Anolis sagrei: one gene and its partners. The protein of the gene in region 3 binds, or shares a complex with, the protein of the main gene of each other region. Links are inferred from orthologs where the notes say so. Each region holds a gene or a part of one and is shown on either strand. Other genes may lie near its edges. The genes, in order: SNCA, NAA25 and NAA20.

What was found.
Region 1: the proteins of NAA20 (region 3) and SNCA are in contact, whole or in part, in a cryo-EM structure (PDB 7STX), measured with the Homo sapiens proteins. The link is inferred for Anolis sagrei from reciprocal best matches to the Homo sapiens genes NAA20 and SNCA. Residues at the interface, in NP_057184.1 of Homo sapiens: Leu23, Thr24, Glu25, Tyr27, His73, Val74, Thr75, Ala76, Leu77, Ser78, Leu110, Phe111, Tyr137, Tyr138, Ser139, Ala140; in NP_000336.1 of Homo sapiens: Met1, Asp2, Val3, Phe4.
Region 2: the proteins of NAA20 (region 3) and NAA25 are in contact, whole or in part, in a cryo-EM structure (PDB 7STX), measured with the Homo sapiens proteins. The link is inferred for Anolis sagrei from reciprocal best matches to the Homo sapiens genes NAA20 and NAA25. Residues at the interface, in NP_057184.1 of Homo sapiens: Thr2, Thr3, Leu4, Arg5, Thr8, Cys9, Asp10, Leu12, Phe13, Phe15, Asn16, Asn19, Leu20, Pro22, Leu23, Thr26, Tyr27, Gly28, Ile29, Pro30, Leu33, Gln34, Leu36, Ala37, His38, Pro40, Glu41, Pro49, Glu52, Met54; in NP_079229.2 of Homo sapiens: Ser226, Glu227, Ile228, Asn259, Asp261, Asp262, Trp263, Gln264, Arg318, Arg321, Leu325, Lys362, Pro363, Cys364, Thr367, Asp368, Val371, Leu457, Thr459, Glu460, Leu461, Ser504, Ala506, Leu510, Leu532, Asp533, Lys535, His536, Ile537, Gln538.

Annotation. Positions count from the first base shown.
Region 1 is NC_090025.1:20,884,794-20,892,852, forward strand, and holds the start of SNCA (alpha-synuclein), read right to left. Parts: upstream 3,008-8,059; 5' UTR 2,619-3,007; intron 1-2,618. UniProt on the Homo sapiens protein: Neuronal protein that plays several roles in synaptic activity such as regulation of synaptic vesicle trafficking and subsequent neurotransmitter release.
Region 2 is NC_090034.1:30,544,579-30,551,850, reverse strand, and holds the start of NAA25 (N-alpha-acetyltransferase 25, NatB auxiliary subunit), read right to left. Parts: upstream 3,037-7,272; 5' UTR 2,967-3,036; coding exon 2,906-2,966; intron 1-2,905. UniProt on the Homo sapiens protein: Non-catalytic subunit of the NatB complex which catalyzes acetylation of the N-terminal methionine residues of peptides beginning with Met-Asp, Met-Glu, Met-Asn and Met-Gln. May play a role in normal cell-cycle progression.
Region 3 is NC_090024.1:138,984,334-138,991,418, reverse strand, and holds the start of NAA20 (N-alpha-acetyltransferase 20), read right to left. Parts: upstream 3,074-7,085; 5' UTR 2,978-3,073; coding exon 2,925-2,977; intron 1-2,924. UniProt on the Homo sapiens protein: Catalytic subunit of the NatB complex which catalyzes acetylation of the N-terminal methionine residues of peptides beginning with Met-Asp, Met-Glu, Met-Asn and Met-Gln. Proteins with cell cycle functions are overrepresented in the pool of NatB substrates.

The DNA of each region.
Region 1 (8,059 bases), on a different chromosome or scaffold from region 3:
AGTAATTACTGTATTTATGAATTTAGCACCAAAACGTCACAATATATTGAAACAGCTGTAGATCCAGACAGGAGGCAGACTGCGTTGGATAATACAGAATGTTGGATGAGTGGAGGTTGGATAAGCAAGACTATACTGTAGTAAGATCTGTATGAATGTTCCTTACTCCTGTGAAAAGAGCCAAAATATCCTCACACATCTCAGAAAAGATATCCAATTGCCCACCTACAGATTCCATAGAGTCTTGGATGACTGTGTTCTTACAGAAAGCAATGCATAAGTGAAACAGACTGTGTGCATGATATCTTATGTTAAAATTTCTTTTTTTAGCCTCTTTTTGGATTATTTTATGCCTTTTCATGTTCATATATAACCAAAAAGTCTAATGAAGCAAAACATACTAGCATGGCTAGCTCTTTGAACACTACTACAAGGCAACAAGCACCATTAGTCTGGATGTGGGGGGTATTAATAGAGTTCTGGTTCTAGGTAAATTATAAACAGATAGAACATAACTCAATATTTCATGGCTTGGAAATCAGGTTGCATTTGTACCATATCCAAAACACCCAAAAGACCTGTTATCTTAAAGCACCACAACACCATCCTTCCTCACTCCTGGCAATATTGCTTGGGGCTGCTGGGAATTACAGTCCAATAACTATGCTTACAGTTGCCCCAGAGACTTGTTAGTGTTCTTAAATGCCACTGTTCTATGTTTGTTATTTCCATCTCCCCAAGGGAATTTTAGCAGCAAACCCTGCTAGGAGCAATGCCACTGAATTCCTGAGGAGTCAGGGCGAGGCTCTGGAGGTGTTTACTGGATCGTTTGGTTTGCCATTGTGGGGAAGACAGAGAATTCTGTCCTCATTAGGATACAGATAGAGATGTAGCCCATTCACTGAAATGGATGTGTTACTCCCAATAGCAAAACAGTTCAGGTCCATTTTGAATGGATACTACAACATTCCTCACTGGTCCTAGAAGTCCAGCAAAGTGATGCAAATCAACCACAGCCCCTCGAGGGGGAAAAGAACTCAACCACATGCATATTTTGATTTTTGACAGTAGTCAAAAGATCTATAAAGATGTATACAGATACAGAGGTCTTGAAAAACAGGTGTTCAGGGCTAGACACCTGTTCACACATACATACTTGCAACATTTGGAAGATGCTCCACAGGTATCCAAAGTCTCATAGTCATTTTCTTAAAATAACGGTAAATACAACACAATTCAAGGAACATGAAAGGCACTGCAGACTAATTCAAACAGAGAAGTCAGCCATAGTAGAGTACTTGATGAACCAACCTGGACACAGCATACATATTATTTGAGAACACAGAAATGCTGGACCACTCTCACAACTGTCATGTCAAGCTACACAGAGAAGCCACTGAAATCCACAAGCATGTGGACAATTTCAACAGATGGGTCCCAGCTCCCGCTTTCATGGCAATGGATGGGGAAGAAGGAGAGTATGGTAGATTCCTGAAGAGGTAACTCTACTTTCCTAGTTTACAACAGATCTCACATATAGCCCGAAAAAACCCACAAGAACCTAGTGATTCCAGCCATGAAAGCCTTCGACACTACAGATCTCACAACCTCTGAGGATGCCTGCCATAGAGGCAGGTGAAATGTCAGGAGAGAATGCTTCTGGAACATGGCCGTACAGCCTGGAAAACTCACAGCAATCCAGTGATTCTGGTCATGAAAGCCTTTGACAATACAAAATAAATCCTGCTACTTCCAACAGGACTTACTTCAGAAGGCAGCCTATGTCACAAGATTGCTATGCTTGCCTGTAATCTTGCACACGAGATAATTCCACACTAAACCAAGCTCTATTCTTGAGTAAGACATGCAAATTGGCATTGCCACGAGGATACCTTTCTTATTGTCCATCTGGACACTGTAGAATGGTGGTGTGTGACACTATTTTAATAGCCATGGCTCATGAATTAATGCTTGTTGTAGTTTTACAACAAGCCAAACAGTGCTAGTACCTCCAAACTACAACTCCAAGGATTTCATACCATAGAGCCCTGGCAGTTAAAAGTGCTGTCAAACTACATTCACTCTGGGTTATTGTGAGTTTTTTGGACTGTATGGCCATGCTCCAGAAGCATTCTCTCCTGATGTTTCACCTACATATATTGCAGGTATCCTCAGAGGTTGTGAGTTCTGCCTCACAACATCTGAGGATTCCTGCCATAGATGCAGGCGAAACATCAGGAGAGAATGCTTCTGGAACATGTCCATATAGCCCAGAAAACTCACAACAGCACAGTGATTCTGGCCATGAAAGCCTTTGACTATACATTTACTCTTGACTGTAGATGCTACTAGATGTACCAGACAGGACACCAGGCTACAAATCCTATGATTCCATACCACTATGTAATGACAATCTAAGTGTTTTGAAACTGAATTGTAGGGATGTAGACGCATCCCTAGATCTACCAAAAGCAAGCTGTTTTCCTGCTCGGTGGAATTTACTCGCCTGTAAGTGCACCCAAGACTGGCAAAAGCCATCCCTCCACAACCCTTCTCTGTTTCTCTCCCCAAAGGGGAGAAATAAAAGAACCCAGTCTCAATTCAACCAGTTTACTTACCTTCCTTGCCAATGAAATGTGACTCCTTTCGCCTCGGGACTCTTTCGAAGTGTGATTAAGAGCAGGGAGAAGAGAGCAGGGCGATGTTTGGCTTAGTACATCCCGGCTGAAGGATGCAGGGATGCAGGCAAGAGTGGTACCCAGGTCCAGGGGAAGTAAGGCCAGGAGGGGAAAGATGGGTCCCAGGTTCCGCTTTCAGGGCAATGGGTGGGAAAGAGGGAAGGCAGCCAGGGCTTGAAGGGAGACCAGCCAGTTCCTTCCCTTGCTTCTCTTCCTCTCTCTCCCTCTTTCCCCCTCCCCCTGCGCCTTTTTTCACCGCCTCTTGTCTCATTCGTCAGGTAGCGGAGGCAAGCCGCGCCCAGGAGCCAAGCCGGAGCCAGGACGCCGCCTTCCTCCTCTCCTCCTCTTCCTCCTCCTCCCTGGTCTCTCCATCTTTTGCTGGCTCCACCCGGTAGTAAAGAAACCCCCCTATTCTCCCCTCCCCTCCACCTCCGAAATACACCTCGAAGGCTTTCCTGAAAGGAGAAACTCTTCCTCCTCCGATGGGCAACAAGTGGGGAATTTTTCTTCCAGTTTGCGCTGCCTTCCTGCAAACTCTAGTCCTGCAGGTTTTTGAGACTTCAGCTTCCAGAAGCCTCAGCTGCTTTGGACGTCAGGAATTCTGGGAGCTGAGGCTCAACACACCCAAAACAACCAAATTTTAGGAAGCAGTAGTTTAAAGGGATAGACATGTTATATAAGAAGCATGTCTTATTACATAGTAAATACATTCTTCAGCAAAGCCTAGAGAAGACAATTATGCTGGGGAAAGTGGAAGGCAAAAGGAAGACGGGCCGACCAAGGGCAAAATGGATGGATGGCATCCTTGAAGTGACTGGACTGACCTTGAAGGAGCTGGGGGTGGTGACAGCCGACAGGGAGCTCTGGCGTGGGCTCATCTATGAGGTCACGAAGTCGGAGACGACTGAACAAATGAACAACAAACATTCTTCAGGGGTTTGGTTCCAGGGTGCATCTATATTATATAATTAATTCAGTTTGGCATCATGTTAGCTGCTATGGCACAATGTTTTGGAATCAAGGGAGTTGTCGCAATGAGCCATGGCAGTTAAAGTGGTGCATATTCTGCTGTGTAAATGTACCCAAGGAAAAGCAGGTTGGTGGGCAAGGGTGTAGTGACCTCCGCTCTTATACCTATATTTTTCACTGCTTCTGCTTCCATAGGTGTACTCTAAACTGGTAGTGGTTCTCAAGCTTTGGTCCTACAGGTTTTGGGACTTTAACTCCCAGAACAACAGCAACAAATGTTTTGGACTTCAGCTCTCAGAAGTCCTGACAGCTGGCTATGACTTCTGGGAGTTAATCATAGAATCAGAGAATCATAGAATCAAAGAGTTGGAAGAGACCTCATGGGCCATCCCGTCCAACCCCCTGCCATGAATGCAACATTCCTGCTTCTTGGCAGGGGGTTGGACTGGATGGCCCATGAGGTCTCTTCCAACTCTTTGATTCTATGATTCTATGATTTAACTCCCAGAAGTCATAGCCAGCTTAACCAGCTGTCAGGACTTCTGAGAGCTAAAGTCCAAAACATTTGTTGCTGTTGTTTATTCATTCACTCAGTCACTTCCAACTGTTCATGACCTCATGGATCAACTCATGCCAGAGCTCCCTGTTGGCTGTGGCCACCCCCAGTTACTTCCAAGCCAAGCCAAGGATACCATCCATCTATCTTGCCCTTGGTTGTCCCCTCCTCCTTTTTCCTTCCATTTCCCCAACATCATTGTCTTCTCCAAGCTCCAAAACACTTATGGGAGCAAAAGTTGGTAACAAGTGCTTTAAAGACATAGAGGTTATATAAGAAGTATTCCTTGTTGCATAGTAAATACTGTGGGCTCTGATCTTGCAGTGGTTCCCAAACTTTGGTCCTAGGGGTTTTTCAGTCTTCAACTCCCAGAAGCTTCACCTAGCTTGGTTAACTACCTGAAATTCTGGGACTCAAAGTCCAAAGCACCCGGAGAACCAAAAGTTGAGAACCAGTGCTCTCAAGTGATAGGTAGGTTATATAAGAAGCATTGCTTATTTGCATAGCAAATAAAATCGGCTTTTAGTATGAACCATCAAGGAGGTTAAGATCAACTGGGGAGGCTCTGCTCTTGGTCCCGCCTCTGTCACATGTGCAGTTGATGGGGACAACAAACAGGGCCTTCTCAGTTGTGGCTCCTTGGCTCTGGAACTGCCTCCCTAGAAAGATTAGATCAGCGCCCTCCCTCCTGACCTTTAAAAAGAGAACAAAGACATGGTTGTGGGATCAAGCCTTTGGCTAATAAATAATGCAGTAGGAAGAATAATTAAGGAACATGTGCAATGACAGTTCAGAATGGCTATGATATATGATTTCTGGATCATGGGATTTTAATCTTTATACTAGGATGATTTTATGCTTTGTCTGAATGTTTAAATGTTATTTATGTCTTATCTTTAATGGTTTTAACTGGTTTTAAGTTAATAGTTATATGTAGTAATTAATTATTATGATTTCTTTGTGTACTGTATGTTGGCATTGAATTTTTGCCATTAGTATGTTGTAAACCACCTTGAGTCCCTCAGGGGTGAGAAAGGTGGTATATAAATACAGTAAATAAATAATAGTATCTTCTGGTATTTGGTTCCAGGTCTCTCCAAAATCTGTGGATTCTCAAATCACATGATATACATGGTGTAGGGAAAGGGTGCCCCTTATATAGAAGGGTAATATTATGATTGGTTTATGGAATGTGAAGAGAATATTTCCAAATTGTAGATGATGGAATTTGTCAATGCAGACTTTGTGGATACCGAGGATCAGTTGCATATCAAATAATGGAGCTGGGATGGGGAACATTTGGCTGTCTCTTGAGATGTTTTGGATCACTATCTCCAATCCTCCCTCACTGGACATCCTAGCTGGATTTTCTGGGAGCTGGAGTTTCAAACATCTCGTTGGTCCTCTATGTCCATGACTTCTGCATCCCAAATGCATCCAAAATCCAAAGAATCAAAATTGTTCAGAATGTGCAGAAAAATATTATTTTCTCTACAGAAAATGTTTCCTGTGCAGTGTTAGAGGAGTTTAACAACCTCATCACACTCACCAAATTCAGTGTCCTAGGAAGCTTCCAGTCTGTTTTGGGGATGGAAATGCCAGCCATCACACAACATTGTGTGACTTCTGGTGGAGGCCCTGCCCCCAATCGGGGTGGAGGCATCTGTGGATGCTTCCCACACAACACAGGAGGCTTCCTATATTGTGCTGGCCCCAATGGAGCCAGCACAAATCCTCCCCAGAAGGGCGACACTTCCCACATGTGATAGAGAAAGCATCATCAAGAAGAGCTGCTCGTGAGGCAACAGATTCACTCTGCTGCCAGGGATGTCTCAACCCATTACGCAAAGTAAGCATTTGCAGTATAGTTGATTTTGCCCAGGGGCGCACTTGAGGCACTCTTGGGGGAAAATAGACCTTGACATATGCGAGTTGTAGTTACTGGGATGTATAGTTCACCTACAATCAAAGAGCATTCTGGACTCCACCAATGATGGAATTGAACCAAATATGGTACACAGAACTCCCACGATGAACAGAAAATATCTATCAGTGATTGGTTGGGGGGGGGAGGGGGCGCCAAAATACTGTTGAAAATTACCTAGGGCCGCCTCTGTCCGCTGCCCCCCCCCCTCTTTCCTCCACAAAACCAGACGAAGCCAGGTGATAAGGTCATAAACTCTTTTCCTTTACTATGGTCCAGCTCCACTTACTTTCCTCACCATAGCCTAGTCTGGCTAATACCTATAGTAGCTTTGGAAGAAAACCTGCAAAGACCCCAATGGATACTTGCCTCCTTTTATAAAACTACTCATATAGGAGTCATCTAGACTGCAACCATAGTAGAGGAGAGAGTTAACATCTTCAATTCTCTTGTTATTTACGCATTTTTTAAAAATCCACTCAGACATAAGAAAAACACCATGCCAATTTGCTGTTATAAAGGTCAGTTCACTGTTACATCAGCTTAAATCCACAATAAACAAAGGGTGTACAGAATTTTCTCATTTTCATCCTTGAAATAAAGATTTATTTTTGTTGTTTTTTTAAAGTTTCATCTAAAGATTGAGTTGCCTGGCTCTTTTATACCTTGAGTAGAGTCTAGTTCTTGATGAACTCAATAAACTTATATTATGACTTCTTCTTTACAATAGAGCAGTGGTTCTCAACCTGGGGTCCCCAGATGTTTTCGGCCTCCAACTTCCAGAAATCCTAACAGCTGGTCAACTGGCTGGGATTTCTGGGAGTTGTAGGCCAAAAACATATGGGGACCCCAGGTTGAGAACCACTGCAATAGAGTATGATCCCCATATTATAGAAGTTAAGCTCCTGGGCGTTTTGTAGATACATGAAACTGTGAACCCTATTGAAATTAAGTAGTTCTGGCCCAAGCATACCATTACGTTATGCTGGAAGATCTAGAAAATGCCTAAAGAGATGTATTTGGTCAGACGTGGATAAATAAAACTGCAGATACCAGTGCCATGGATATGTGGATCACACTGTGCTTCTGATAGCTAAGTGGAATGGAAGCCACAGGTAGATGGACTGAGACTCTGGTAATTGCAAAGTTGGTTCAAAACATTTTGCTGCCTGAGGAAAAAAAGGACAAGATAATATCTTCTTCTTTCGTTCTATGTACACATTCTGACTTCAATGGCAGCAGAAACGTCCATTCTGGTAGTGAAATTGGGTCCTTTGCTCCTCCTAAAAGCAGCAGACTAATTTAGCAGTGAAGGACAACTAGGGTGCAACATATACACGTCTTTTTCAGAAGAAGAAAATGTTCAGAGAGCCCTCCCCAAAAAAGAAGTTTTGGGCAATCCCTGCTTCCACCTCCCAGAATTGAAGACCTGAGGTGGTTGCCTAAGCCTTCCTAGCACACTGGTCAACACACATTTTGATACCTCAAATGTTAGTCCTGTTTATGAGCCCATTTGACCCGCCAGTTCAAAAAACCACACCAGTTTCCCCCAATCAGCTCGACTTTTTGAGATACTGAACATTGCCACCTACCAGCTGCCATCTGCTCGCCTATAGAAAACCAGGATAACCATATCTTAGAAACTAAAGCTGATATGGTCTATCGAATGCAATTTTCTGAATCAATGCCTCAAATAACCTTATAAACAGGCCTAAAAATCAAGACACCCAATAGAACTGAGTAGCAACTCTTTATGTAACTACCCTGCATGAAATTATTTTTGTGTGCTTTCAAACTTACTGTCTTACATAAATTTGTTTTATCTGGCTTGCAAATTGCTCAATCCTACTGTAAGATAAGGAGTTTTTTTTAAAAGCCGCATTTCCCTCCTGTCTGCTGGGAAGGGAAGAATGGAATCTGAAAGGTTTGTTG
Region 2 (7,272 bases), on a different chromosome or scaffold from region 3:
GGCCCCTTCCACAAAGCTGTATAAAATCCCACATTATCTGCTTTGAACTAGTTTATATGGCTGTGTGGACTGAGATAACGCAGTTCAAAGCCGATATTGTGGAATTTTCTGCCTTGATATTTTGGGTTATAGGGCTGTGTGGAAGGGCCACCAGTTCAAAGAAGATATTGTGGTAAAGGTTTCCCCTTGACATTAAGTCTAGTTGTATCTGACTCAGTGGTGCTCATCTCTCATTTCTAAGCCGAAGAGCTGGAATTGTCAGTATACACTTCCAAGTTCATGTGGCCAGCATGATTGCATAGAGCACTGTTACCTTCCTGCCAAAGTGGTACCTATTGATCTACCCACACTTGCATGTTTTCCAACTGTTGGTTGGCAGAAGCTAGGGCTGATAGCAGGAGCTCACTCCATCACGCAGTTTGGAACCACTGACCTTCCAGTCAGCTCAGCTGATAAATCTGCTGTGCCACCACAGCCCCTATCAAGATATTCTGGTATCTGGTATAAATACTGGTACTGTATTACATGCATAGTGGTATAATAATATAGTACAATTAAATATAATAATACAAGAATTGTGTATTATATAATACATGTAACATTACTAATAATTTTGTAGTACAGTGGTATAGTACAATATAATGTATAGTACTAATATTGTGCTTTGCTAATAATATAATTTGCTTATTTGTGTGACCATGTCTCCCCCTATAAACCCATTCAGGCCTTAAGGTCCTCCGGGAAGGCCTTCTCACAGTCCGACCACCCTCACAAGTGTGGCTGGTGGGAACGCGGGAAAGGGCCTTCTCAGTAGTGGCTTCCCAGCTCTGTAATGTCCTTCCCAAAGAAATCAGACCAGCCACCTTCAGGAAAGAATTGAAAACATGGACGTGGAAGAAGGCATTTGGAAGTGAGCAATTATAACTTATCATGATGGTGGTTTTTATAGGTATACAAATGCAAACTGTCTTGAACTGGTTTTGTCCTGGTGAACAATATGTTTTTAAATCCAGAAATAATTTAATCTGTGCATTTTACTATGATATTATTATTTTAGTTTGTGATTTTTTTTATTTTGTCGCTATGTATGTTTTTATTCTTGTTTTGGTCTTGTATTTATTCTCTGTAAGCCATCCTGAATCCTGTTGGAAAGAGGGCAGGATGTAAATAAAGTTTATTATTAAATATTATAATGTGATACGATATAATACCACTAATAATACATTATAAAAATATATTATAATAATATGGAAATACTAATATATTAAATGGGTTGCTGTGAGTTTTCCGGGCTGTCCAGCCATGTTCCAGAAGCATTCTCCCCTGAATATTTCACCCACATCTATGACAGGCATCCTCAGAGGTTGTGAGGTATGTTGGAAACTAGGCAAGTGGGGTTTTACATATCTGTGGAATGATGTCCAGGGTGGGAGAAAGAACTCTTGTTTGTTGGAGGCAAGTGTATTAAATATAATTACTACTGATAATACATAATATATCACGATACACCATTTTATTATTGTATACTTGGAGTTGTCATGTTTTTAATTGTGAGCTGCTTGGAGTCTCTGTATGGAGATAAAAGTGGGATATCAATAAATAAAATACAAATTAATAAATAAATAAAGCACATCTTGCGGATTCTCTGCCTTGATATTCTGGGTTGTATGTCTAAAGGCCCTTCCTCACTGCCATATAACCCAGAATATCAAGAATATCAAGGCAGAAAATCCTACAATATCTGCTTTGAACTGGGTTATCTTTGGTTTGGTTTTTATGGCGTCCATGTGTTTGTCTCTAGATAACTATTTTTATTTAACTATGAATTCTATTTTCTTGTTAGTAATTATTAATTTATAATGACGTTATTTTCTACTGTTTGACTTATGTGTATGCTTTTTTTTTTTTTACTAAGGCATTGAAAGTTTGCCTTTCTTTTTTGCGTGGAAGCCAGCCTGAGTCCCCTTGGGGAGATAGGGCAGCCTATAAATAAAGTATTATTATTATCTGAGACCACAGTGCCATATATTCCAGTTCAAAGAAGATATTTTGGGATTTTATTCAGCTATGTGGAAGCGGCCCTAGACATGCCCCATCCCATGATCTGATCTCGGGTTTTCTGCTTTAAACTGGATATGAGCCCGCACCGCCAGATAATCTGGGATAAACAGAACACCTGGGATCAGGTCCTGGGATATAGGGCATGTCTGAAAGGTCCTAGGTCACCTTCTGGGGAAAAAAAGCGGGGTAAAAAAAACATCCATCAACATAACAATAGCTTTGGAGATCATGGGGAACAATTAACCGCCTCCCCCCCGTGATGGTGTTTGCTGCCTGTGCCAATGTTCATAAGATTTCCCCTCACTTTCTGTCCTTGTGAGAATATAATTTGGAACATTTTCGCTTGTTGTGGAAACAAGGACTGGGGATTGGGCTTCAGTGGAGCCCCCTTTCCCCCTGATAGTAACTCTTTCAGGAGTGAATTTCCCTTTCAAGGGGAAGAATCCTCTCACTTCTTGTTAAGGAGTCGTTTGGAAGTGAGGGGTCTGTAAATCGGGGACGGCTTGTATCAAGGAACAGCCAAGACGCAATCTCAAGTCTCTGAGCTAAGCTTGGCAGTAGGGAAGTTGACTGTGGAGCCCCGTTTAGGCCGCCCTTCCTTCTCAGGCCCAAGGCCTGTTCCTTTTCCCACCCAGGACAGGGAGAAAAGGGCGGGAAGGGCCCCAGGGGGGCTGAGGCGAAGCTGAGGCGAAGGGAGGACAGCCAGTGCGCATGCGCCTTCCAGAGGGAGGAAGGCAGGCGCCGTTCGCCGCGCGCGGAGACGCTGAGGGAGATGGGGGGGGGGGAAGGGGGAATGAGGGGAAAAGGAAGCACCGGTGGCAATGGGAAGGAAAAAGCTCGGTACCGTAAATGGGCCGGAGGCGCCGGTCGTTGGGATCCTGCACATGGCCCCGCGCCGCCGCCATGATGAGAGCGCAGAACCGCAGCGCGCAGCCGCCGCCTCCGCCGCTCGCCGGCCCTACTGGCGAGCGGAGGGGCGGGGTCTCTCTCAACAGGGGGCGTGGCTTAGCCGGGCGCGAGGGCGGGGAAAGGCGGGCCAATCAGAGGCCGCGAGGGGCGGGGCCTATAACAAGGGCGCGAGGGGGAGGAGGGGCCAATCAGAGACCGCGAGAGGCGTAGCCTACAGCAAGGGCGCGAGGGAAAATGGAGGGGGGAGGAGAAAGGGGGGGTAATCAGAGGCCAACAGGGGCGGAGCCTACAGCGAGGGAGGAGGGAGGGGCCAAACGGAGTCCGCGAGGGGCGGAGCCTACAGTAAGGGTGCGAGGGGAAAAGAAGTGGGGGAGGCGCTAATCGGAGGCCCGCGAGGGAGAAGGGGTGGGGGCCAATCGGAGACCGATATGAGCGGGGCCTACAGCAAGGGTGCGCGGGAAAGGGGAGGGGCCAATCAAAGGCTGCGAGTAGAGTGGCTTACAGCAAAGGGGCGAGGGAAAGGGGAGGGAGGAGGGGCCAATCGGAGGCCGCGAGGTCGCCCCTTTAGCAGCGGCGCGAGGGATAACTGAGGGAGAGAGGAGGGAAGGGGCCAATCGGAGGCCGCGAGGGGCGGGGCTCACAGCGAGAGAAGAGGGGGGAAGTAGGAGGGCCAATCGGAGGCCGCGAGGGGCGGGACGTACACTAAAGGCGCGCGGTAAAGGGGAGGCAGCGTGCCATGCATTCTATGGCAGTCTGGAGATGGGCCCTTCTACACATGAGATTGAAATATTTGTCACCCACCTCTCCTTTCAGATTTTTTTAAAAGTTGCAATGTTTGCATCCATATTATTATTATTATTATTATTATTATTATTTCATTTCTGACCCGCCTCTCCTTGTGACTCAAGGCGGTTTACAATGTCACTCGAAATCCACTCAGTTATCCTCACCCTTTCCAATGCCAGAAACACAGCTTAATGGTGTAACATTAGAAAATGTTGACCATTTCCGCTACCTTAGCAGCCTCCTCTCCACCAAAGTCAACGTTGACACTGAAATTCAACACCGCCTGAGCTCTGCGAGTGTAGCCTTTTTCCGAATGAAGCAGAGAGTGTTTGAGGACCGGGACATCCGTAGGGATACCAAGGTGCTTGTTTATAAAGCTATTGTCCTCCCAACCCTGTGATACGCATGCGAGACGTGGACAGTCTACGGAAAATCCTGCAAATCTCTTGGGAAGACAAGCAAACAAATGTCAGCGTGCTAGAAGAAGCAAAGACCACCAGCATTGAAGCGATGGTCTTCTGCCATCAATTCTGCTGGACCGGCTATGTTGTTCTGATGCCTGACCACCGTCTTCCAAAGCAGTTGTTTTACTCCGAACTCAAGAACGGAAAACGGAATGTTGGTGGGCAGGAAAAGAGATTTAAAGATGGGCTCAACTCAAAGCCAACCTTAAAAACTCTGGCATAGACACTGAGAACTGGGAAGCCCTGGCCCTTGACCGCTCCAGCTGGAGGTCAGCTGTGACCAGCAGTGCTGCAGAATTTGAGGAGGCACGAGTGGAGGGTGAAAAAGAGAAACGTGCCAAGAGGAAGGCGCATCAAGCCAACCCCGGCCAAGACCGCCTTCCACCTGGAAACCAATGCCCTCACTGCGGAAGAAGCTGCAGATCAAGAATTGGGCTCCACAGTCACCTGTGGACCCACTGACAGAACACTGACCTTGGAGGACCATCCTCCTCCAACTACAAGGGATCACCTAAGTGAAGTGAAGTGAACTTCTTGTATACAAATAATAAAAGTGAAAATCTGTATGTGTGTAAATTTATCTCCTCTGTCCCAAATTTCCTTCCTGTGGAGGCAATTCTCTGTCCTTTTAAAAATCTTTTTTCCTGTAAATGTTCTCCAAACCTCATCAAAACCACTTTTCCATATTCCTCTTTTAACTTTTTATGTCAATTTTGTCACTTTTTTTTACATGTCAATTTTGTCACTTTTTGCCAATTTTCATAATTTCTTATACCACTCTTCCTTTTTTATATTTATTTCCCTTATCCAATTTCTTGCTATAAGTAATTTTGCTACTGTTAATAGGTTGGATATACAACCTATTAACAACTCCGCTGGTCTATTAGTTGCAGACACAATGCAGGCAGTGAAGAACGCCTTCAGTGCCGTGAAGGAGGCCCTAAGTGAGGTTCTAGCCTGTACTCAGTCAGATTTGTCCTGAGTCCTCCCCAGCGGCACACTAGTCTCTGTCTCGCGTGTTTCATCACCACCAGCTCCCTGGAGAATCAAGGACCCAAATCTGGTCAGCCTCACATCAATACCAGGCAATATTCTGGAAAAGATTGTTAAGGAAGTGAAATAGAGCAATTTGGAGTGGCCAGAGATAGTGAGATCCATGCCCAGAACCCAGGACTGAGAGCCAACCTTTAGGCAGCGAGAGGCTCCGGTGCCCAACCAGCTGTGGATCCATGTGCTTGGTGAGCAAAGGAAGCCCAATCCGACGAAAGAATGCTCACAATGTTGGAGACAAGCCGCTAAATATTTTATTTAAAGTCAGCTGAAGTGATGACAGCTTGTGGTAGCCCACTAAAGACAGCTGAGATACATTTTACAGAAAAACATGCACTTTTATACACTTTTACAGGTTCAAAATTCCCACCGCCCCCAGCTGGACCCACCTTCACCATGATTGGCTGAGCCAGCATGACATCAGTGGGGGCTCCCTGGAGAGGCGGGAGAGAGTACTGACTGCCTCAGATGGAGATTGCCCTCTGTCCAATGGCTAGAGAGGGGATGGCGAGCTTCAGAACAATGGATCAGATGAGGACTGATGATGGTATTAAATATCCCTGATGTGTGAGCACAATGACCCTGATGGGTCTGCCAAAACTTGTATTGTCCCTTAGGCGTTCAAATTCTGATCAAGCACAGTGTCTCGAACACCAAACTCCCATGCAAGTTCCAACAGAAAATATTGTCCATATAAATGTCCAATGTCTAGGAATAACAAAGGAGGAAAATAGCCTTTCCAAAACTGTGGCATGGTATCTCGTGACTGGAAACTCCGTGCTGGGATGGCAAATGTCAGGTATTGTCCAAACAGTAACACAAAGGAAGGGTGGTCCACCTGGCTCCTGTTATCCTCTGTCTCACTTGGGTTGTATGGGTTCCATTGAGGTAGCTGATTGATCCAATCAATGCAAATGAAGCCTGGCAAGATGTTGGCTGATCTTCCCAGGACAGGAAAAAGGCAGGCAAAGGTCACTGCAATAAGTTGGTGACTTCTCCAATACTTTAATAAAGTGAATGAACCCAGAGAGTGATTTTCCCCAATGCTTCTTCTTCATCCTGGAAAGAAAGGGTGAGTGGAGTGCCACCAGCAGGGTTCCATCCTGGTCCTGTTCAACATCTCTATTAACAACTTAGATGAAGGATGAGAAGGCATGCTCATCAAGTTTGCAGACGAGATCAAATTGAGAGGGAGAGCCAATACTCCAGAAGACAGGAGCAGAATTCAAAATGATCTTAACGGATAAGACAGATGATTGGCCAAAACTAACAAAAAGGTAGTTCAACAGGGACAAATGCAAGATACTCCACTTAGGCAGAAAAAATTAAATACAAAGATACAGAACGGGGAATGCCTAGCTCAATAGCAGTACATGTGAAAAAGATCTCAGAGTCCTCGTGGGGAGGAAGGTTAACATGAGCCAGCAATGTCCTGTGGCAGCTAAAAAAGCCAATGGGATTTTGGCCTGTATCAACAGGAGTGTAATGCCTAGATCCAGGGAAGTCATGCTACCTCTCTATTCTGCCTTGGTCAAACCACACCTCGAATCACACTGTGTCCAATTCTGGACACCACAATTTAAGGGAGATGTTGACTCTGAGCTGGAATGTGTCCAAAAGAGGGTGACTAAAAGGATCGAGGGTCTGGAGAACAAGCCCTATGAGGAGTGACTGAAAGGCTGGGGCATGTTTAGCCTGCAGAATAGAAGGCTGAGAGGATCAAGAGGTGAAGGAGGGGAAGTCATAAGGAAGAGGGAGCAGACGTATTTTCTGCTGCCCTGGAGACCAGGACACAATGGAACAATAGCTTCAAACTATAGGAAAGAAAGGAGACTCCACCTAATCACGAGGAAGCACTTCCTAACTGTGAAAGAGAGAACTGTTCAGCAGTGGAACTCTCTGTCCAAGAGTGTGGTGAAGGGAAGCTCCTTCTTTGGAGGCTTTTAAGAAGAGGCTGGATGGGGAGGATGCTTTGAATTCGATTTTCCTGCTTCTTGACAGA
Region 3 (7,085 bases):
CAAGCTTGTAGGGAGAAAGCCTTCTCTGTGGCTCCCTGACTCTGGAACTCATTACCTGGAGAGATCAGGAAAGCCACTTCACTAGAAACATTCAAAAAGAACCTTAAAACCTGGCTCTTCCACTGCGCCTTTAGCGAGTACGTGCACAACATGACACTATTGCTCCCCTCACGCTTCTGCCACTGGAGTACATGCCCTCCAAATGGGAAGTTTAGTTCCACAACCCTGTGTGTTTTTATGAGCTCCCTGCAAATAACTTGCTCCTATTTTTATCTCATTCGAGTTTTTTTAATCATTTTATCCTGTACATGTGGCCCGCCCATTGTTATCATGATTGTGTTTATTGGAATGTTATTTTGTTACTGTGTTTATACTTTTTCTCTCTCTATGTAATGTTGATGATGTTGCTTGTTGTTTATGTTCTTGTTTTAGTTTGCTGTAACATGTTGTCCGGGCTTGGCCCCATGTAAGCTGCTCCTAGTCCCCATTGGGGAGATGGTGGCGGGGTATAAATAAAGATTATTATTATTATTATTATTATTATTATTATTATTATTATTATGTCATGCTGTTTACTCTGTATGTTTAGGTGATGTTGCTTGGAAACCACCTTGAATCTCCCTTGGTGAGATAGAGCGGTATATAAATAAGGTTTTATATATTACTAGCTGTCCCCTGCCACGCATTGCTGTGGCCCAATCTGTTGATCTGGGAAATAAAGTAATGAGGAATTGTTGGTTTCTAATATATTTAATTTCTTGATGCTTGTGGGTAAACAGTATTTCTTGCTGTTTCTTTGTCAGTGTTGATGTGGAGATTGTCCAGTTTGCCCACCTTAGAACACGCAACATATCATTGTCCTTCTTTACTATATCTCTGTGTGTGAATCATATCTATCTATCTATCTATCTATCTATCCTTATCTATGGCTGGATGGCTCTTTGTCAGGAGGACTTTGATTACGTTTTCTTGCCCTGATGAAGGGAGTTGGACTGGATGGCCTTAAGTATTTTCTGATGGTCATGGGGGTTCTGTGTGGGAAGTTTGCCCCGATTCTGTCATTAGTGGGTTCAGAATGCTCTTTGATTGTAGGTGAACTATGAATCCTAGTGACTACAACTCCCAAATGTCAAGGTCTATTTCCCCCAAACTCCATCTGTGTTCATATTTGGGCAGATTGAGTGCTTGTGCCAAGTTTGGTCCACATCCATCATTGAGTCCACAGTGCTCTCTCGATGTACAACTCCTAAACTCATGATCAATGCCCGCCAAACCCTTCCAGTATTTTCTGCTGGTCATGGGAGTTCTGTGTGCCAAGTTTGGTTCAATTCCATCGTTGATGGAGTTCAGAAAGCTCTTTGATTGTAAGTGAACTATAAATCCCAGCAACTACAACTCCCAAATGACAAAATCATAATTTTTTGAGTGATGGTCACTCCTTGTGTTGTGAGACTTTTGTTGCCAAGTTTGGTGTGATTTCGTTCATTGGTTCTTTTGTTTTTAAGGAACTCATTATGCACAGAGCACTTATATATATATAGATTACATGTTCTAGAAGCATTCTCTCCTGACGCTTTGCCCACATCTATGGCAAGCACCCTCAGAGGTTGAAGGGTGTGTTGGAAAGTAGGCAAGTGGGGTTTATATATCTGTGGAAGGTCCAGGGTCCAATTCAAGAGAGATATTGACAAGCTGGAATGTGTCCAGAGGAGGGCGACTAAAATGATCAAGGGTCGGGAGAACAAGCCCTATGAGGAGCGGCTTAAGGAGCTAGGCATGTTTAGCCTGAAGAAGAGAAGGCTGAGAGGAGATATGATAGCCATGTATAAATATGTGAGAGGAAGCCACAGGGAGGAGGGAGCAAGCTTGTTTTCTGCTTCCCTGGAGACTAGGACGCGGAACAATGGCTTCAAAGGTTCCTGTGGGTTTTTTCGGTCTATAGAGCCATGTTCCAGAGGCATTTCTCCTGATGTTTCACCTGCATCTATGGCAAGCATCCTCAGAGGTAGTGAGGTCTGTTGGAATTAGGACAATGGGTTTATATATCTGTGGAATGGCTGGGGTGGGGCAAGGAGCTTTTCCCTGCTGCAGTTAGGTGTGAATGTTTTAGCTGATCACCTTCATTAGCATTTGAAGGCCTGCCTGAGCCTGGGAAAATCTCTTGCTGGGAGGTGTTAAGATGTGCCTGGTTGTTTCCTCTCTGTTGTTTTGCTGTTGTAATTTTAGAGTTTTTTTAATACTGGTAGCCAGATTTTGTTCATTTTCATGATCTCTTCCTTTCTGTTGAAATTGTCCACATGCTTGTGGATTTCAATGGCTTCTCTGTGTAGTCTGACATGGTGGTTGTTGGTATGGCTTCAAACTACGAGAGGAGATTCCATCTGAACATGAGGAAGAACCTCCTGACTGTGAGAGCCGTTCAGCAGTGGAACTCTCTGCCCCGGAGTGTGGTGGAGGCTCCTTCTTTGGAAGCTTTTAAACAGGGGCTGGATGGCCATCTGTCAGGCGTGATTTGAATGCAACATTCCTGCTTGTTGGCAGGGGGTTGGACTGGATGGCCCATGAGGTCTCTTCCAACTCTTTGATTCTATGATTCTAGGGTGTGAGAAATAACTCGTGTCTGTTGGAGGCAAGTGTGAATGTTGCAATTGGCCACCTTGATTAGCATTGAATAGCCTCACAGCTTCAAAGCCTGGCTGTTTCCTGCCTGAAATGCAGAAATACCCGCTCGATTTGGGGGCGGTTGCAAAGACAGCCTCAGTTTCTCCACTGAAGGCTTCTCCTCAGCAAGTGCAGGTAGCCAGAGAATCTCAATACACTGTATAGGGGCAGAAGCCTTTTCCAAGAGGAGACAGAGGCCCCTCCACAGCCAGCAAGGGAAACCACCGCATGGCCCTCCCTTCGCCCGCAGCGCCCCTTCTCACATGTTGTTGAAGCGGAAGAGGTCATTACACGTGAACGCCCGAAGCGAAGTCATGGCTTCTCTCCTCTTGCCGGCAATGGAGGAGGGAGGCCCAGGCAAAGCGAGGACGGCCGACCCGGAACTGCTCCTGTCCCATTGGATCACTTCCTCACATGGGGAGAGATGCTCGCGTCATCAAGGGCGGAGCTACGCCTCTGACGTCAGAGCATTCGACAGACAGCCGGAATATAGACAGTCGAACGCAGAGCAAGGAAAGACAGCCACGCCTCTTCGGTCTGCGCCGCTCTTCCGAGTTCCAAAGCAAAGGGCTGTTAGAACCGAGGCTTCCAAGGTTCTTGTGGATGTAGAGCAGGCCTGGGCGAACTTTGGCCCTCCAGGTGTTTTGGACTTCAACTCCCACAATTCCTGAGGCCACGTACCTCCTCCCACAGGCAAAAACCCTGATGTCATAGATTTATTTATTTGCTTTATTTCTATACCGCATTTTTCAGCCCTTAACAGGCGACTCAATGCGGTTTACATGGTACAATTATCAAACAGTGTCAGTGCAATTAAAACATAACAATGCAACAAACAGGATCAACAGCATCAATCCACAACAGTTAACAATCAACAAGACAGATCAACAAAACAAACATAACATAACGCCTCAGTTGAAATCAGATCCGTTCTCATAATCCTTGTGCCATTCCTATGTTCCATTTACCCTCTTCCTATGATTGGTTGCACTGCTTAACCAAACGCTTGTTCATAAAGCCAGGTCTTAACCATTCTCCGAAACGTCAGCAGCGAAGGTGCCTGTCTGATGTCTGCCGGTAGGGCATTCCATAGCCGAGGGGCCACCACTGAGAAGGCCCTGTCTCTCGTCCCCGCCAAGCGCGCCTGTGATGCAGGCGGGATCGAGAGCAGGGCCTCCCCAGACGATCTTAATGTTCTGTTCAGTTCATAGGTGGAGATGCGTTCGGAGAGGTAAGCAGGGCCAGAACCGTTTAGGGCTTTATAGGCTAAAGCCAGCACCTTGAATTGTGCCCGGTAGCGGATTGGCAGCCAGTGGAGCTGGCTCAGCAGAGGAGTGGTATGCTCCCTGAGTGCCGCTCCCGTTAGCAACCTGGCCGCCGAGCGCTGGACCATCTGAAGCTTCCAGGCAGTCTTCAAGGGCAACCCCACGTAGAGCACGTTGCAGTAATCAATCCGGGGTGTAACCAGAGCGTGGACTACCGTGGCCAAGTCAGACTTCCCAAGGTACGGGCGCAACTGGCGCACAAGTTTGAGTTGTGCAAATGCTCCCCTGGACACCGCCAAAACTTGGGGTTCCAAGCTTAGCGAAGAGTCCAGGATCACACCCAAGCTGCGAACCTGCGTCTTCAGGGGGAGTGTAACCCCGTCTAACACAGGCTGTAACCCTATACCCTGTTCGGCCTTTCGACTGACCAGGAGTGCCTCTGTCTTATCTGGATTCAGTTTCAATTTGTTAGCCCTCATCCAGTCCGACACAGCGGCCAAGCAGCGGTTCAGGACCTGAACAGCCTCCTTAGTAGTAGGTGGGAAGGAGTGACAGAGTTGGACGTCATCTGCGTCCAGAGTTGGACGTCATAGATAGACCAATGATTCCCAAACTTTACCTCTCCAGGTGTTTTGGACTCCAACTCCCCAAATCCTCAACCACTTTGGCCATTCTGGGAGCTGAAGTCCAAAACATCTGGGTCGGAAACACTGCCAGGGATTGTGGCTCTGACTGTACTGGGCTTTTGCGGTGCTGTGATCCAATATGCTGATGACAATGTCGTCTGTGCGCATTCAGAAGAACATCTACAAGCCACTCTATAAACACCTTTACAGAAGCATACGAGAAGCTCGGCCTGTCATTGAACACCAAGAAAACCAAAGTTCTCTTCCATCAGTCACCAGCCAACCCCTCTCCAATGCCAGAAATGCACCGTAATGGTGTAACATTAGAAAATGTTGATCATTTCCGCTACCTTGGCAGCCATCTCTCCACAAAAGTCAACATTGACTCCACAAAAGTCAAATACAACACCGCCTGAGCTCTGCGAGTGCAGCATTTTCCCAAATGAAGCACAGAGTGATATCTATAGGGGTACTAAGGTGCTTGTTTATAAAGCTATTGTCCTCCCAACCCTGCTGTATGCCTGCGAAACATGGACTGTCTACAGGCGTCACATGCAACTCCTGGAATGATTCCATCAGCGCTGCCTCCGGAAAATCCTGCAAATATCTTGGGAAGACAAGTGGACAAACGTCAGTGTGCTGGAAGAAGCAAAGACCACCAGCATTGAAGCGATGGTCCTTTGCCATCAACTCTGCTGAAACGGCCACGTTGTCCGGATGCCCAACCACCTTCCCCCAAAATAGTTGCTCTACTCCGAACTCAAGAACGGAAAACGGAATATTGGAGGACAGGAAAAGAAATTTAAAGATGGGCTCAAAGCCAACCTTAAAAACTCTGGAATAAACACTGAGAACTGGGAAGCCCTGGCCCTTGAGTGCTCCAGCTGGAGGTCAGCTGTGACCAGCAGTGCTGCAGAATTTGAAGAGACATGAATGGAGGGCAAAAGAGATAAACGTGTCAAGATGAAGTCGCGTCAAGCCAACCCCGACTGAGACTGCCTTCCACCTAGAAACCAATGCCCTCACTGTGGGGGAAGATGCAGATCAAGAATAGGGCTCCGCAGTCACCTATATATCCGCTGCTAGTACACCGATCTTGGAAAACAATCATACTCGGACAAGTAAAAGTTACTTAGGTGATCTCTCGTAGCTTGAGGTGTCGTGGCAGTGGGTCTGTAGGTGGCTGTGGAGTCCTATTCTTGATCCCCATGTTCTCTCACAGTGAGGACATTGGTTTCCAGACGGCGGTTCTGGTCAGGGTTGGCTTGATGTGTCTTCCTCTTGGCACATTTCTCCCTTTCGCCCTCCGCCCTCCTTCAAATTCAGCAGCATTGCTGGTCACAGCTGACCTCCACTTAGAACGATCAAGGGCCAGGGCTTCCCAGTTCTCGGTGTCTATGCCACAGTTTTTAAGCTTAACTTTAACCCTATCTTTAAATCTATTTTCCTGTCCACCAACATTCGGTTTCCCATTCTTGAGTTCAGAGTAGAGTAACTGCTTTGGGGGACAGTGATCGGGCATTCGCATAATGTGGCCAGTCCAGCAAAGTTGATGGTGAAGGACCATCATTTCAATGCTGGTAGTCTTTGCTTCTTCCAGCACACTGACATTTGTCCTCCTGTCTTCCCAAGACATTTGCAGGATTTTTCCGAGGCAGCGCTGATGGAATCGTTCCAGGAGTTGCATATGACATCTGTAGACAGTCCATGTTTCATAGGGGTATAGCAGGGTTGACCAGACAGGATGTAGTAATGCTTACTTTGTCATAGGGTGCGTCTATGCTGTCAAATTAATTCAGTTTGGCATTTTTACTGCCATGGATCATTGCTTTGGAATCATGGGGATTGTAGTTTGGTGGGTCGCCAGCATTCTTTGCCAGGGAAAGCTACAGCCATTGTAAAACTACAAGGGCTGTCATTTAAAGTGGTGTCAAACTGCATTAATTCAACAGCGTAAACACACCTTTTGTTTTGCATTTGTGTAGCCACGTATTGGCTTTGAGCTGGTTTGAGGGCATCAAGACAATTTGACAAGGTGGAGGGGGCATTTTTGACAATTTCATCTTCCATGTGTTTTGGGCTTCAGCTCCCAGAATCCCTGATCAATGGCCAAAGGAGTTGAAGCTTCTTGGGGATAGGTAAAGGTAAAAGTTGTCTGCTGACATTAAGTCCAGTTGTGTCCCACTCTGGGGGTTGGTGATCATCACCATTCTAAGCTGAAGAGCTGGCGTTGTCCGTAGACACCTCCAAGGTCATGTGTCTGGCATGACTGCATGGAGCGCCATTACCTTCTCGCCAGAGCGGTACCTATTGATCTACCCACATTTGCATGTTTTCAAACTGCTGGGTTGGCAGAAGCTGGGGCTGACAGCGAGAGCTCACGCCGCTCCCCGGATTCGAACCTGCGACTTTTTGGTCAACAAGCTCAGCAGCTCAGCAGTTTAACTCATTGCACCACTGGGAGTTCCCGGGGGTGGAAGTTAAAAAAAAAAAAAGCCTGGGATACTGGAGTTTGGGGTAACTGTGACACACT